Linked DNA regions of Xenopus tropicalis. The protein of the gene in region 3 interacts with the protein of the main gene of each other region in a pairwise test. Links are inferred from orthologs where the notes say so. Each region holds a gene or a part of one and is shown on either strand. Other genes may lie near its edges.

Evidence for each region.
Region 1: the proteins of eif4a2 (region 3) and pdcd4 interact in binary tests that used the Homo sapiens proteins (3 or more experiments, as listed by UniProt). The two-hybrid records come from large-scale screens. The link is inferred for Xenopus tropicalis from reciprocal best matches to the Homo sapiens genes EIF4A2 and PDCD4.
Region 2: the proteins of eif4a2 (region 3) and E3 ubiquitin-protein ligase TRIM39 interact in binary tests that used the Homo sapiens proteins (3 or more experiments, as listed by UniProt). The two-hybrid records come from large-scale screens. The link is inferred for Xenopus tropicalis from reciprocal best matches to the Homo sapiens genes EIF4A2 and TRIM39.

The regions. Positions count from the first base shown.
Region 1 is NC_030683.2:2,657,418-2,661,982, forward strand, and holds the start of pdcd4 (programmed cell death protein 4), read right to left. Parts: upstream 2,984-4,565; 5' UTR 2,905-2,983; exon of another isoform or gene 2,900-2,904; intron 2,894-2,899; exon of another isoform or gene 2,806-2,893; intron 1-2,805. UniProt on the Homo sapiens protein: Inhibits translation initiation and cap-dependent translation. May excert its function by hindering the interaction between EIF4A1 and EIF4G. Inhibits the helicase activity of EIF4A. Modulates the activation of JUN kinase.
Region 2 is NC_030678.2:143,271,302-143,275,847, forward strand, and holds the start of E3 ubiquitin-protein ligase TRIM39, read left to right. Parts: upstream 1-1,718; 5' UTR 1,719-1,806; coding exon 1,807-1,897; intron 1,898-4,546.
Region 3 is NC_030681.2:105,926,193-105,930,576, reverse strand, and holds the start of eif4a2 (eukaryotic initiation factor 4A-II), read left to right. Parts: upstream 1-1,406; 5' UTR 1,407-1,432; coding exon of another isoform or gene 1,433-1,461; intron 1,462-2,249; coding exon of another isoform or gene 2,250-2,295; intron 2,296-2,374; coding exon of another isoform or gene 2,375-2,444; coding exon 2,445-2,507; intron 2,508-2,558; exon of another isoform or gene 2,559-2,630; intron 2,631-2,705; coding exon of another isoform or gene 2,706-2,845; intron 2,846-4,384. UniProt on the Homo sapiens protein: ATP-dependent RNA helicase which is a subunit of the eIF4F complex involved in cap recognition and is required for mRNA binding to ribosome.

The DNA.
Region 1 (4,565 bases), on a different chromosome or scaffold from region 3:
GTCACTGACCCCGGAAGCCAAAAACTATTGCTCTGTGAGGCTCCAGTTTTACTGTTACTTGTTGTAACTTTCTTTGCTATTCAGCCCCTCCCCTATTCATATATCAGCCTCTCTTCCAAACCACTTCCTGGCTGCTAAGGTAACTTGGACCCTAGCAACCAAATAGCTGCTGAAACTCCAAACTAGAGAGCTGCTGAACTGAAAATGTCAAAAAAACCTACAAATAAAAAATGAAGACCAATTGCAAATTGTCTCAGAATATCACTCTCTACATCATACTAAAAGTTAACTCAAAGGTGGACATCCCCTTGAAGCTGTTGCTGGACATGGGGGCACCCCATGGGTTCCCAGTTTATCTTTTTAAGAAAATCCATCATTTTGAACGTTCATGTATCATAACTTACACTTATGTAAACAACAGGCAAAGTGCAAAGGAACAATCAGGTATTTGTTGTATTATTTTTGCTGCTGTGACAAACACAAAGGAAACAGAACAGAGCCGCAATCACACAATGCAGTTATATATCCCTTTCTCTGCCGCTCACTGCATCAAACCAACAACACTACATTACTTTAGCCCATGCTAGAGCGGCTACACACCAGCGCCAACGTATCACAAGTATCTGTACAATGAGTGATGCACAACAGAGACACGGCTGAACTATTTCACACACAATATAAAAGGAAGGAAGGAACACGCAGTGTAAAGGCAAAGTACTCCAGCAAAACATCTATTTAAAGGGACACTGCCATGATATTTATGGGGCACTTTTTATTTTCAAATGACACTGTTACACAGCAAATAATTCCCTCTGCCATTTAAACTTTTATTCTTGTACCAACAAATGTATTTGTAGCTGTAATATTGGTGTGTAGGCGCCATCTCAGTGCCTTGTGCCTGAGTCTGAGCTTTCAGCCAGCGCTACACATTAGAACTGCTTTCAGCTAACCTATTGTTTCTCCTACTCCCATGTAACTGGAGGAGTCCCAAGCCGGACTTGGATTTCTTACTATTGAGTGCTATTCTGATACCTACTGGGAGCTGCTATCTTGCTCCCTTCCCATTGTTCTGCTGATCGGCTGCTGGGGGATATCACTCCAACTTGCAGCGCAGCAGTAAAGTGTGCCTGAGTCTGAGCTTTCAGCAGGAGCCAGCGCTACACATTAGAACTGCTTTCAGCTAACCTATTGTTTCTCCTACTCCCATGTAACTGGAGGAGTCCCAAGCCGGACTTGGATTTCTTACTATTGAGTGCTATTCTGATACCTACTGGGAGCTGCTATCTTGCTCCCCTCCCATTGTTCTGCTGATCGGCTGCTGGGGGTGAGGGGGGGGGATATCACTCCAACTTGCTGCGCAGCAGTAAAGTGTGCCTGAAGTTTATCAGAGCACAGGTCACATGGCTGTGGCACTCTGGGAAATTAAGAATATGGCTAGCCCCATGGGAAAAACAGATTACAATGCAGGATTCTGCTGGAGAAGCTCTATTAACTGATGGGTTTTGTAACAAACATGTCTTCCCAAGACAATATTCCTTTTAAACACGAGCCAGTGATCTGGACGATGCTACTGACACAGCATGTTTGCAGCAGGAAATGAATGCTAAGTTTATAAAACACTTAGATCTCAAAATCTATGAGCAAACCTTAATAAAACACAAGCTAAAGAAAGATGAAACAACCGGTGCAATTTGGGTGAATGTTTATAACAATATAACAATGTTGTGCCTGTTAAAGGCTTGCAACTGCCCATTCCCTCACATACAGAGGATGCAGCGGTGGGACGGGCCCCTAGGGCTAGGGCTGCCGCCTGGACAGTAATTAGTGGCTTGCCAGTACAAGCAATACTATTTGCCCATGGTATTAATCTATTAATTAGATTTACATACAGGAAGGCTGGTATTTATGTTTTTAAGAACAGGTGGCAGTCACTCTCACAGCAATTCTATACAGAGTGCCAAGTGGTATAGCAGGAGGCAATGGCACTCCGGTAGCCCAGTTGCACCCTAAGGAGACACGGCACCCTCCTAGCCCCATGACTTGTAGAATAAACCGCACCCCCCCCCCAAAAAAATTAGGATTGGTCCTTAATGTTACGTAACATGCAGGAGACCCCCAGGAACCCCCAAATCCACTGCCACATACAATGACACACCCCCAGCCCCTCCCCCACCATGCACAGAGTATGACTCTCCCCTCCTTACCCAATGGAGAAAGGACAATCTGCACCCCCCCCCCCCCTGCACCCCCAACAGCAGGACAATCACCCTAATTCCCCACATATAGGACACACCCCTAACTACATGCCACACCCCTTACCCTGCCCAACAAGCCCTACAAATAGAATGGAAACGCCCCCTTACCCCTATAGGTGGGACAGGCCACACCCCCTCCAAAAGATAGGCCTCTCCACCGCCCTCATACAGGGCACAAACCCCAACTCCGACAGGACGGGGCAATTAACCGACCCCCCCCAACACTATATTTAACCCTTACTCCCCGCATACAGGGGGCAGGACACGCCCCCCCAACACTATATTTAACCCTTACTCCCCGCATACAGGGGGCAGGACACGTCCCCCCAGGACCCAAACTTTTAAAAGAGAAGATACGTTTCTGTTGCGCTTTATAATTACAAGTTAATAATAATAATGTCCCGCTCCTACACACACAGGACACGCCCCCCCCAAACAAACACAAGCCGGACCCCGTCTCCCACAAGCAGTAAACATGACACTAATCGCTACACCGCGCACACACGGGAGCCGCCAAGCCTCCCCAGAGACATTACACGCCTGACATTACCCCGGGCCGCAGATGTAACACACAGGTCTCTCTCCCTTCCGCCTGCGTGCTCTTCTGTGGCTGTTTATGTTTTGATCCCTCCGCCCTCCCGTACCTCACCTCAGCGCGTCTGCCCAGTAACACCGTCACATGTGCGGCGGGCGTGGCTTTTTTGCATTGGCAGGAGATGTAAGGTGTGCGGGACGAACACCAATAAGAACCTTGGAGGGCGGGGCATGCGGCTGTAGGAGGAGGGGCGAAATAATCTATGCGCACGTCAGGGGCTAGGGCGGGATATTTGTCTGAGGCGAGGAAAGTGGGAGCGGCCATTTTGTGTTATTGGGTTTAGGGGCGAGTCCTGTGTGTCGGATTCATTCTCAGCCTCAGCCTTATATACTATATTATCCTCACTGGGGAGTCTCTTCCCGCTACATGTTATTTACTGGCTCCCAGCCGGGCTTCGCGTTCAGCAGTGTCTGGTAATAGCCCAGTGGGGGTAGAATGTAATTACTGAAACTTTACATAATGTCAAAAGGGTTACAAAGTTTTTAAAAACATGATTTAATTGTAATTATCAGGTACGAACTGGGGTTAAATATAGCCCCCCCAGCCCCCCCCCCCCGTACCCCAGCCCAATAAATAGTGACCCTTTCAGGCTTAAACTGTAAAGTCCACTGGGAATTGTCACCAAGGGCAAGTGCACCTCATTAGTGGCCTGCACAACCAAAAGAGATAGAATGCAATTAGCGGGGGGGGGGGGGGGGCTCTGTCTATTCATTTAGGCAATTAAATGTGACCCAGGCCCAGGGATCCTGGAAAATATATCTAAAAGTTGGCTCTTTAGACCGATTTACCAGCTTATCTGCCTGTATATGGGCACCAACGACGGGCCTCCCCAACCAACATATGGCCTGAAACCGTCCAGATCTCTATTGAGCAGGCTTTATTTTTCCATGGATCAGGGGCTGCATCGGCTTGCCACCCGTAGGTGGGCATATGAGCCCAATAAAGAGTGACCTTACAGCCCCCCGACATTCCCAGTACCCAGAGGCACAAACAGCCCCCCAGCCCAATAAATAGTGACTGTCTGTGGCACCTTACAGCCCCCCCGGCATTCCCAGTACCCAGAGGCACAAACAGCCCCCCCAGACCAATAAATAGTGACTGTCTGTGGCACCTTACAGCCCCCCTGGCATTCCCAGTACCCAGAGGCACAAACAGCCCCCCCAGCCCAATAAATAGTGACTGTCTGTGGCACCTTACAGCCCCCCTGGCATTCCCAGTACCCAGAGGCACAAACAGCCCCCCCAGCCCAATAAATAGTCACTGTCTGTGGCACCTTACAGCCCCCCTGGCATTCCCAGTACCCAGAGGCACAAACAGCCCCCCCCCAGCCCAATAAATAGTGACTGTCTGTGGCACCTTACAGCCCCCCTGGCATTCCCAGTACCCAGAGGCACAAACAGCCCCCCCCAGCCCAATAAATAGTGACTGTCTGTGGCACCTTACAGCCCCCCTGGCATTCCCAGTACCCAGAGGCACAAACAGCCCCCCCAGCCCAATAAATAGTGACTGTCTGTGGCACCTTACAGCCCCCCCGGCATTCCCAGTACCCAGAGGCACAAACAGCCCCCCCAGCCCAATAAATAGTGACTGTGGCACCTTACAGCCCCCCTGGCATTCCCAGTACCCAGAGGCACAAACAGCCCCCCCAGCCCAATAAATAGTGACTGTCTGTGGCACCTTACAGCCCCCCTGGCATTCCCAGTACCCAGAGGCAC
Region 2 (4,546 bases), on a different chromosome or scaffold from region 3:
CTTAATAAATCTCCCCCTATATCATGCAAATCTTATAATAGCACAAAATGCATCTACAGGCATTTATCTGTGATTATGTGATTTGAATAAAATGCCTGTTGCAATTTACATTAAACCCATAGTGGAATATTTTTGTTGTCATGTTTTTGCCCGCTGGAAGTGATATCCCCTTAGAAACAAAATGCTTTGTGTGGCATTGCGCAAGAGGTATGTATGTATGTATAACTTTATTTATAAAGCGCCACAAGGGTACGCAGCGATGTACAATCTTACAAAATTACACACAGGGAGGACAAGTGTTATAATAAATACAATAAATAAGTACAAAATACACAAGGAATAAGTGCCATGTGGTATGAGACACAGTAGGAAGGCAGTCCCTGCCCCATAGAGCTTACAATCTAAGTAGGTGAGTTTGTTATATACAACACGCCAGTACAGATAACAATATTGTGCATCTTGCGGTTCCTAAACATAACTACCCCCAGCCAGGGCTAAGGGCTCTGGCACACGGGGAGATTAGTCGCCCGCAACAAATCTCCCTTGTCACGGGTGACTAATCTCCCCAAGTTGCCATGACCTGCCTCACGAGTCTTTTTTGGCGATATCGGGAAATCGTGCCGCCGCGTGTGCCATCCCGCCGGCGACTTACATGTTCGCCGGTGGGATGGCAGGTCATGGCAACTCGGGGAGATTAGTCGCCCGTGACAAGGGAGATTAGTCGCCCGCAGCAAAACTCCCTGTTCGCGGGCGACTAATCTCCCCGAGTTGCCTACCCCTGCCATCCCACCGGCGAACATGTAAGTCGCCGGCGGGATGGCAGACACGGCGGCGCGATTTCGCGCAAATTTCGTCGCGATTTCGCGACTTACATGTTCGCCGGTGGGATGGCAGGTCATGGCAACTCGGGGAGATTAGTCGCCCGCGAACAGGGAGTTTTGCCGCGGGCGACTAATCTCCCCGTGTGCCAGAGCCCTAAGGGCTCTGGCACACGGGGGAGATTAGTCGCCCGCGATAAAACTCCCTGCTCGCGGGCGACTAATCTCCCCGAGTTGCCTACCCCTGCTGGCGGGATGGCAGACGCGGCGGGGCAATTTCAGGGAATCGCCGAAAAAGACTCGCGATTTGCGCGAAATCGCGCCGCCGCGTCTGCCATCCCGCCGGCGACTTACATGTTCGCCGGTGGGATGGCAGGGGTAGGCAACTCGGGGAGATTAGTCGCCCGCGAACAGGGAGTTTTATCGCGGGCGACTAATCTCCCCCGTGTGCCAGAGCCCTAAAGAAGCACTTCTTTTATCACAAGTAGGATAAAGATAACATAACGTGTCCCAGTTTGTGCAGAGAAACAGGAGGAGGAGCTTGGGCAGGTCTCCTTGTCACTCACAGTTATGACACCTTCCTGCGGGAGAGTGAGAGGACACGCCCAGCCGTCAGTACAGCCTACACACGGGTCTCCCTTCAGCTCTGATAAACAGGCTTTGGAGCCCATATACCGGACACCGCTAAAGCGGCAGTGAGGACAGCCTGCATTTATATTCCAGTATGAAACCTTTAACCTGCTCTAAAGCCCTGACAACCTGCTAGCAAATTCAGCAACCCAATTCTAAACGTAGATTTATATTACTAATCATCCCCCCCCCCCTCTCTCTACGTCCAAGTGGTATGTGCTGACTTCTAGTTTCCTGCGAGCCGAGCGAGTCGGTGCGGTGCAGGTAAGCGCGCAGGGTTGTGTACCATGGCGCATTCACATTCATTGTTTCCGTGCTGCTCTCAGTCTCCTTTATGTGAGGCAGCCCCCAGCACCACATGTGGCTAGAGCAGTGCCAGCTTCCTGAATTAAAGATGGATTCCGAGCCCACAACTGCATTTTTGTCGAGTTTAACAGGAGGAATGCAAGGTATGCACCATGGAGGAAGGTGCCTGCTATTTGCAGCATGGTGACAGGGGTGTGCTGTATAGGCAAATGCAGGCTGGCTGAGCCTAGGGGCAATGGCACACAGGGGGTTTGTTGTCTCTGGGAAAGAAAATCCCAGTTCCCCTTAGGCCAAACATGGCAGCACATTGGAATCACCACATGTTTGTCAGCTAATTCAGCAATCACACAAACTGCTGCTTTCTGTATATTCACATGATAACCTCATTCAACTGAGCTGCACACAGCAACACAAAGCCCCACGGCCCCATTGCCATAATCATGACATCATGCTTTCTCTTTACTAAATGCCTTGTATGTGTTGTATGTGGCCTTCAATAAAACAATATGAGCGAACTGTTGATATCAGAACATTTGTATTCTGGTTTATTTTCAACTTTTAAACACGTTTTAGTAGGTTTTAAGCATAGTCTTCTGAATTAAAGGAACAGTAACACCAAAACATTAAAGAGTTTTAAAGTAAATGAAATATAATGCACTGTTGCCCTGCACTGGTAAAAGTTGTGTGTTTGCTACAGTAACACTACTATAATTTATATAATAAGCTGCTGTGTAGCCATGGGGGCAGCCATTCAAGCTGGAAAAAAGGAGAAAAGGCACAGGTTACATAGCAGATAACGGATAAGCTCTGTAGAATACAATCGTGTTTTATCTGTTATCTACTAAGTGCCTGTGCCTTTTCTCCTTTGAATGACTGCCCCCATGGCTACACAGCTGCATTCTTTATATAAACCATAGTAGTGTTTCTGAGGCAAAACACCAGTTGTACCAGTGCAGGGCAGCAGTACATTATATTGGAATTTCTTTCATACACTTGAATTTTTTTGGTGTTACTGTTCCTTTAAGAAAGAATCCCTGGAAAGCTTGGTCCCAAGAATTCTCCCAAGTTCTTCCAAACGCTTTTTACGGTTTAAACAGTTCACCAAATAGGAAAATTTTTCATTGCTTTATATATATATATATATATGTGTATTCTCTGCCCTGGTAACTCTGCCTTGTGAATCACTGTAACACAAGCAGCAGACTGACAGACCTGACTTGCTGGAGGAGATTGACCTTTGAAACATTGTTTAAAAAGTAACAACCAGGAGTTAACTAAATGCTGCTTTCAATAGCAGTTACATTCACAAATAACTTTTGAAGCACTAACATTTTTGTTTATAAATTCATATTAGAAAGTTGCTTAGAACTATGTTTTCTTTTATTAGGCAAAATATATTTTTTGGGTTGACATGCTCTTTAAGGGTGAGAGCACACAGGACATATGGTCCGCTTCTCTCGGCCTGCATTTGGTAGGCAGGTTTTGATAAGCAGATCTGATTTATACGCTTCTGTGTGTAGTTGCACTGATAGTGATAGCATAGGCCTGATTGCTGCTAGACAGAGCAGTGATTGGTCAGAAAAACACGACAGCAGGCATTTTCAGGCCAGTCTCTGCGCCGTGTAGCTGCATTAAGGCCGATGCTGTGTCTGTCAGTGCAGCTACTCACAGAAGTGTTTAGAGCAGATCTGCTTCTCTCTGCCTGGCCCAATGCAGGCAGAAAGAAGCAGACTATACATGCTTTAAGAGGGGCCTAAATGAGTTCTTGAACAATCAGAATATCCAAGGCTATTGTGATACTAATATCTACAGTTAGTACTAGTGGTTGTATTTATAGTTTATGTATGTGAGTGTATAGATTGGTAGGTGTGGGTAAGGTGTGCTGGGTTTACTTGGATGGGTTGAACTTGATGGACACTGGTCTTTTTTTAACCCTATGTAACTATGTGTGCCCTCTCCCTAATATTCAAGTCTCAAGTGCTACAGTCTGGTATCTCAGTAATCCAGGTTACTCTGAACTGTTATAGTTTGCTACATGAATTGATAGATTTCTCAGCAGAACATGTGAAACATTAGTAACTACTGTATTAATTCTAGCAGCTGCCTTTAATAAAATGTAGGCCCTGGACATATAGAGCATTTCTTCTGCTTCTCTCAGGTGAGAGAAGCAGATCTATTCCCTTACGCAGCTCTGTTTACCTACACTAAAAGTACAACTTTTGCTTGAGTGCAGGTACATGGAGCGGAGTGGAGACTGGACCGAAAATGCCTGCTTTTGCCGCTTTTGTTGCCAGCAGAGGGGCCGATTCTCTGCCTGTGTTTTTCCACAGGCCGAAAATCAGTTTTGTGTGGCATCAGCAATAAGCTGGCCATATGTGCACTGATAAAATCGTACGAAACGCAGTTTCATAAATATTTCGGACCTTGTGTGGGATCCGAATTATCATCCCGATAATTTGTGTACCATGGCAATCCCAGGTTAGAAAATTTTGCTCGGAAAATTATAAAATCTGTGCATGTATTTATTACCTGACGATATCCTTGGGGGACCTGCAATGCATTTCCAGTAAGTCACTTTTGTACGATTGGTGTCTGCCAACTATTTCATGTTCAGAACATCCTCCGATTTGTTATTTTTAGGGCTTTATCCTACAATTTCGCCTGCCCTAAACATTAATATTAGAAAAACACTCAAATATTGAAAAAAGAAAAGTAGAAAGCAAATGAAAAAAAAAAACATTTATGGTGTACAGGAAAAGACATTTTGTGTTTACAATTGTAGCAGTATATTC
Region 3 (4,384 bases):
CCATTGAGTCCTATGGGAGACTTTCCTTGGGCCAGGTTGGAGCTGCAGAGTGCCATTGAGCCCTATGGGAGACTTTCCTTGGGCCAGGTTGGAGCTGCAGAGTGCCATTGAGCCCTATGGGAGACTTTCCTTGGGCCGGGTTGGAGCAGCAGAGTGCCATTGAGTCCTATGGTAGGCTTCCGAAATCATGCACCGAAGGTTCAGTCAGAAAGTTTTTCACGCCATTTATGATTGTTAAGATACGAAAATTTCATAACTTTCGGATCATATCACAATACAAATTTTCGCGCAATTAACTCACATCAGAAATTATCACATTTAACCCGAATTTTTCCAAAACATACTTTACATTAATTTAAATTCGGACTTTAATAAATCTGCCCCCAAGTGTACAAATTCATTTAAACCTTTTATTTAGTTTTTTTCTCTGAACAGTGTTTTATTGCCCTGTTTGCAAGCTTATTACCCTGCATAATTACTTTTTACATTTTATATTGATGATTTTATTGCATTTTTAATGGTTTTATTTAATTTTTAGTGTATCAGTGCTGCCAACACAGTGTTAATTAGAATTAACTGTGCCCACATTAATGTGTGCAGTTTAGGTTTGCATGAATTATTGTTAGTCAATAAAAATACAAAACCCACAAAAGAATAAAGTATTTTACGCAGGAATATTTTTTTGGGGGGGGGTTATGTAGAAGCCATCAGAGGGAACCACTTACCATCACAAATACCTACACAGCAAAAGCAGAACTCCACTGCAGAAAATCTAATAATGTTCTGCATTTAATAATCCCCGCTGAGGCAGAACAACATAGATTTGAACTTTCTCCAGTTTTCAGAAATCAATAATGTACATAAACTAGGTTAAATGATACCGATGTTGGGCTGGAGCTACAATGCTTTGCGCAGTTTGCACACATTACGATACCTCGTTTTAGCAAACACGCTTAACATTTTATCAGCACAACTTCATTGCTAGAGGTACTGCACCATCCAGCTTCTCTTCCCTGCATCACGTACAGCACACAGAACGTCACCCACTGACCGCAAGGGAGGAGGTCTTAGCAATCTGCCCGTGCAGGGGCTGCTCCGGAAACCCCGTACTGTTCAGGGACCGAAACCCTACACAATATGCTGCAATATCTTTCCGCGGAGAGCACAGACGACTCATCGACAAAAAAATAGTACCTATACCACAAAATAACATAAGAGTACAAAATATTGTCGTACGAGAATAAATAATAAAATAATCTCTACCGCTTTTGGGTTGTAATCCTGAATAGTATGAGACTTGCACGCATTAGTCAATAAAATCGTCTTTTTACTGGTGTTCGTCCGCGGTTCGGAATGTAGTCCCAGTTGTATAAATCGGACGTGGTAGCTTTCCAAGTCCTTTTCAGTTGAGCTCTGAAGTGCGGTGTGGATCATGTCAGGCGGTTCTGCGGATTATACTAGGTAACTGTTTTGCACAAGTTATTGAACGAGGATTTTTAGGTAGCCCTAAAAGAGGGAGTGGGTGGTAGAGACTATAACATTTAGTGGCAATATATATTTGTTAGGGGCTGAGTGTAAGGCCTTCTTGGTCGGCTTTACACGCGGGCTTCTTCAGGGCTCTGCGAATTCCCGGAATCTTGTGCCAAATGCTGCAGGGTGTTGTAGTTGGGTAGTAACTAGAAGCGGTATGGCGAGGTGTTCCTGACCGTAATGATGCCCTGCTCTGCACATGAGTAAGCTTTGGGAATGCGGCTATGTCTTTTGGTTGCGGACCTACGCACAATTTTAGAGCGAAACGGTTTGGATTCACCTAAGGGCTGTGGCTCTCATCCGCAGGGTGGGGAGGGGGGGAAGATGGCGCCGGCAGAACATGGCGCCATGAATTGTGAGCACTGTGCGAAGGGCGCAAGAGCTTGGCTGTATGCTTCGCTACGGTTACTAATTAATTTGATAGGTAATTGTTATCCTGTGATAGATATATACTTTATTGGGTACAGATGTTAAGTAAGCAACTGTCCCATCACTGTTAAATGTAAGCAGGATACTGTAGCAGCTGCAACATCTTGTTATGCCTGTTAAATGAATGTAACTGCAGCAGCTGCCTTCTTTAGGCTGTGTGCCTCTTATACATCAACTTGTATATATGCATGTGCCAATATAGCTGCTGCTCTGTAGCTTGGGTGGTGGTGTATGTCCGTTTGCTTAAGGCAAAGACATGACTTGAAGTGCACTTGTGTTATTCTTCTCAGAGACCATGGAGGCCCTGATGGTATGGACCCCGATGGTGTCATTGAGGTGAGCATAATGCTTATTTCTCCTTTTATGTTAAATTCTGCTTCTCACTGATAAATAACTGGTTAACTTGCCATTGCAGAGCAACTGGAATGAAATTGTTGACAATTTTGATGACATGAATCTTAAAGAATCTCTTCTGAGAGGCATTTATGCTTATGGTTTTGAAAAACCATCAGCCATACAACAAAGGGCAATCATTCCCTGTATCAAAGGTAAGAAAAGTTCACATCTGAGTAGGTAGAATAAAAAGCTTCCCTTAATACAAGTGAGATGATGGCATACCATCTTTCGGGACTGAGTTGATGTGAAGAGTTTTTCTGTTTTGCTGATCACTTGTATATTATGTGACTAATAGTTAAAGTGCCAAAATAAAATGTGGGAACATTGAATGTGTATCCTACTTTTTTTAGGGTATGATGTGATTGCTCAAGCTCAGTCAGGTACTGGCAAGACAGCCACATTTGCTATTTCCATCCTGCAGCAGCTGGAGATTGATCTCAAGGAGACCCAAGCTCTAGTATTGGCCCCTACAAGAGAACTCGCTCAACAGGTATTGATAGGCTAGTATGTGCTGCACAGGCTTCAGTTTAATAACTAAACACACTAGCGAACGCTTAATGATAAAATACTGAATATCTAAAGGGAAACTATCTGTTTCTTTAACTGATGTAGCTAGTGGTGCATAAATTTGTTGCAGTATTATGGCAGGGAAATTAAGTTAAACCTAAAGCAAAGTGTTTTCATTTAACCGTACTGCTGATTATCACTAATAAGCCGCCATACTGTGTCCACCCCCCGTTTTTGTGTAGTAGTAGTATAATGAGCAGTGTTCTTAAATGTCATTATCTGTGCTACTTACTTATTAAAATATACTAGTAAGTAACTTCACAGCAAAGGATTTTTTTTAACTCTTCTTCCTACCATTATGGTGTTTACTTTAGTGTTCTTAGGCCCTTGGGTTATAATGACTAAAGGCATGATCTAAGCAGTCATGTATCTGGCTATTTAAAATATCCTTAAGGCTGCAGTTGCCAACAATGGCAGACTGGTCCAAAAGGCCAGGCGACACCTGATTTAATATTGCTTCCTAAGGGGCATACTAATTTGAAACCATAGTGACCTTTGTAGTAAGACTTGCACATTTGTTTAATGTGCTAAATAGGTGTGGGTAAATGTGTATATAAAGTCTCTAAGAAACATGGCTTTCTGTGGGAAGATTACCCAGCCTCCATTAAAGAATGTTTTACTCCATTGATTAACTGTAATCTAATGAAGCTAATGAAGATGTGCTAAACTAAATTAGTGCATTAGCCCATAGCAACCATTTGGCAGTGACCATTTTCTAACAAATTAGAACATCAGATCTATTTGCTGACTGGCTTCTATGGCTAATCGCACTGATGTGGTTTGAACAGCTAGCAGATCCTTAGGGCCACATTTACTAGTCTGTGCTGAAGTGCTGTACCTGGCTTCTTGAGTTGGTTAGGCCTAGAATTCATGAACCTTTGTAATATGGCTTGAACATACTACACATGCATTAAGGGTGTGGTTTGCCAGCCAAGCTGATGGCATCAACCATATTTGAACTGTTCTACGACAAGGGCTTTGGAGTGCAGTACTTATGCGTATCATTTTAGAATCAAACATGACTTTTTTTTTTTTTTTTTATAAAAATTCTTGTATCCCTGTCAGCAATTACTAACCATGCACTCTACTCTCCCTTTCACAAAAGACTTTAATGAAGCCCCACAGCAATTATTTTTACAGTACTTTAAATCCTCTTTAAAGACCCTTAGATTATTATTTGTGCACCTCTTTCTACATATTAAAATATTGACTTAAGTGTCCTGTAGTGTAGCATATCTGCACTGTAAGTTCCTCCTGTGGCATGGAAAAGCTTTTAATCTTTGTGCATATTTGACATATAGCCTATTTTCTGGTACATATGCACAGGACAATCTATGCAGCTCTGGAATTAATGTTGACGCAACATATTCATTATGGCTTTTAAACTCAAATTACAGAATGTGGTAGTTTCCCTTTAAAGGACTCCTTCCCCACAAACTCCTGTATGAAAATGCAGTTTTAA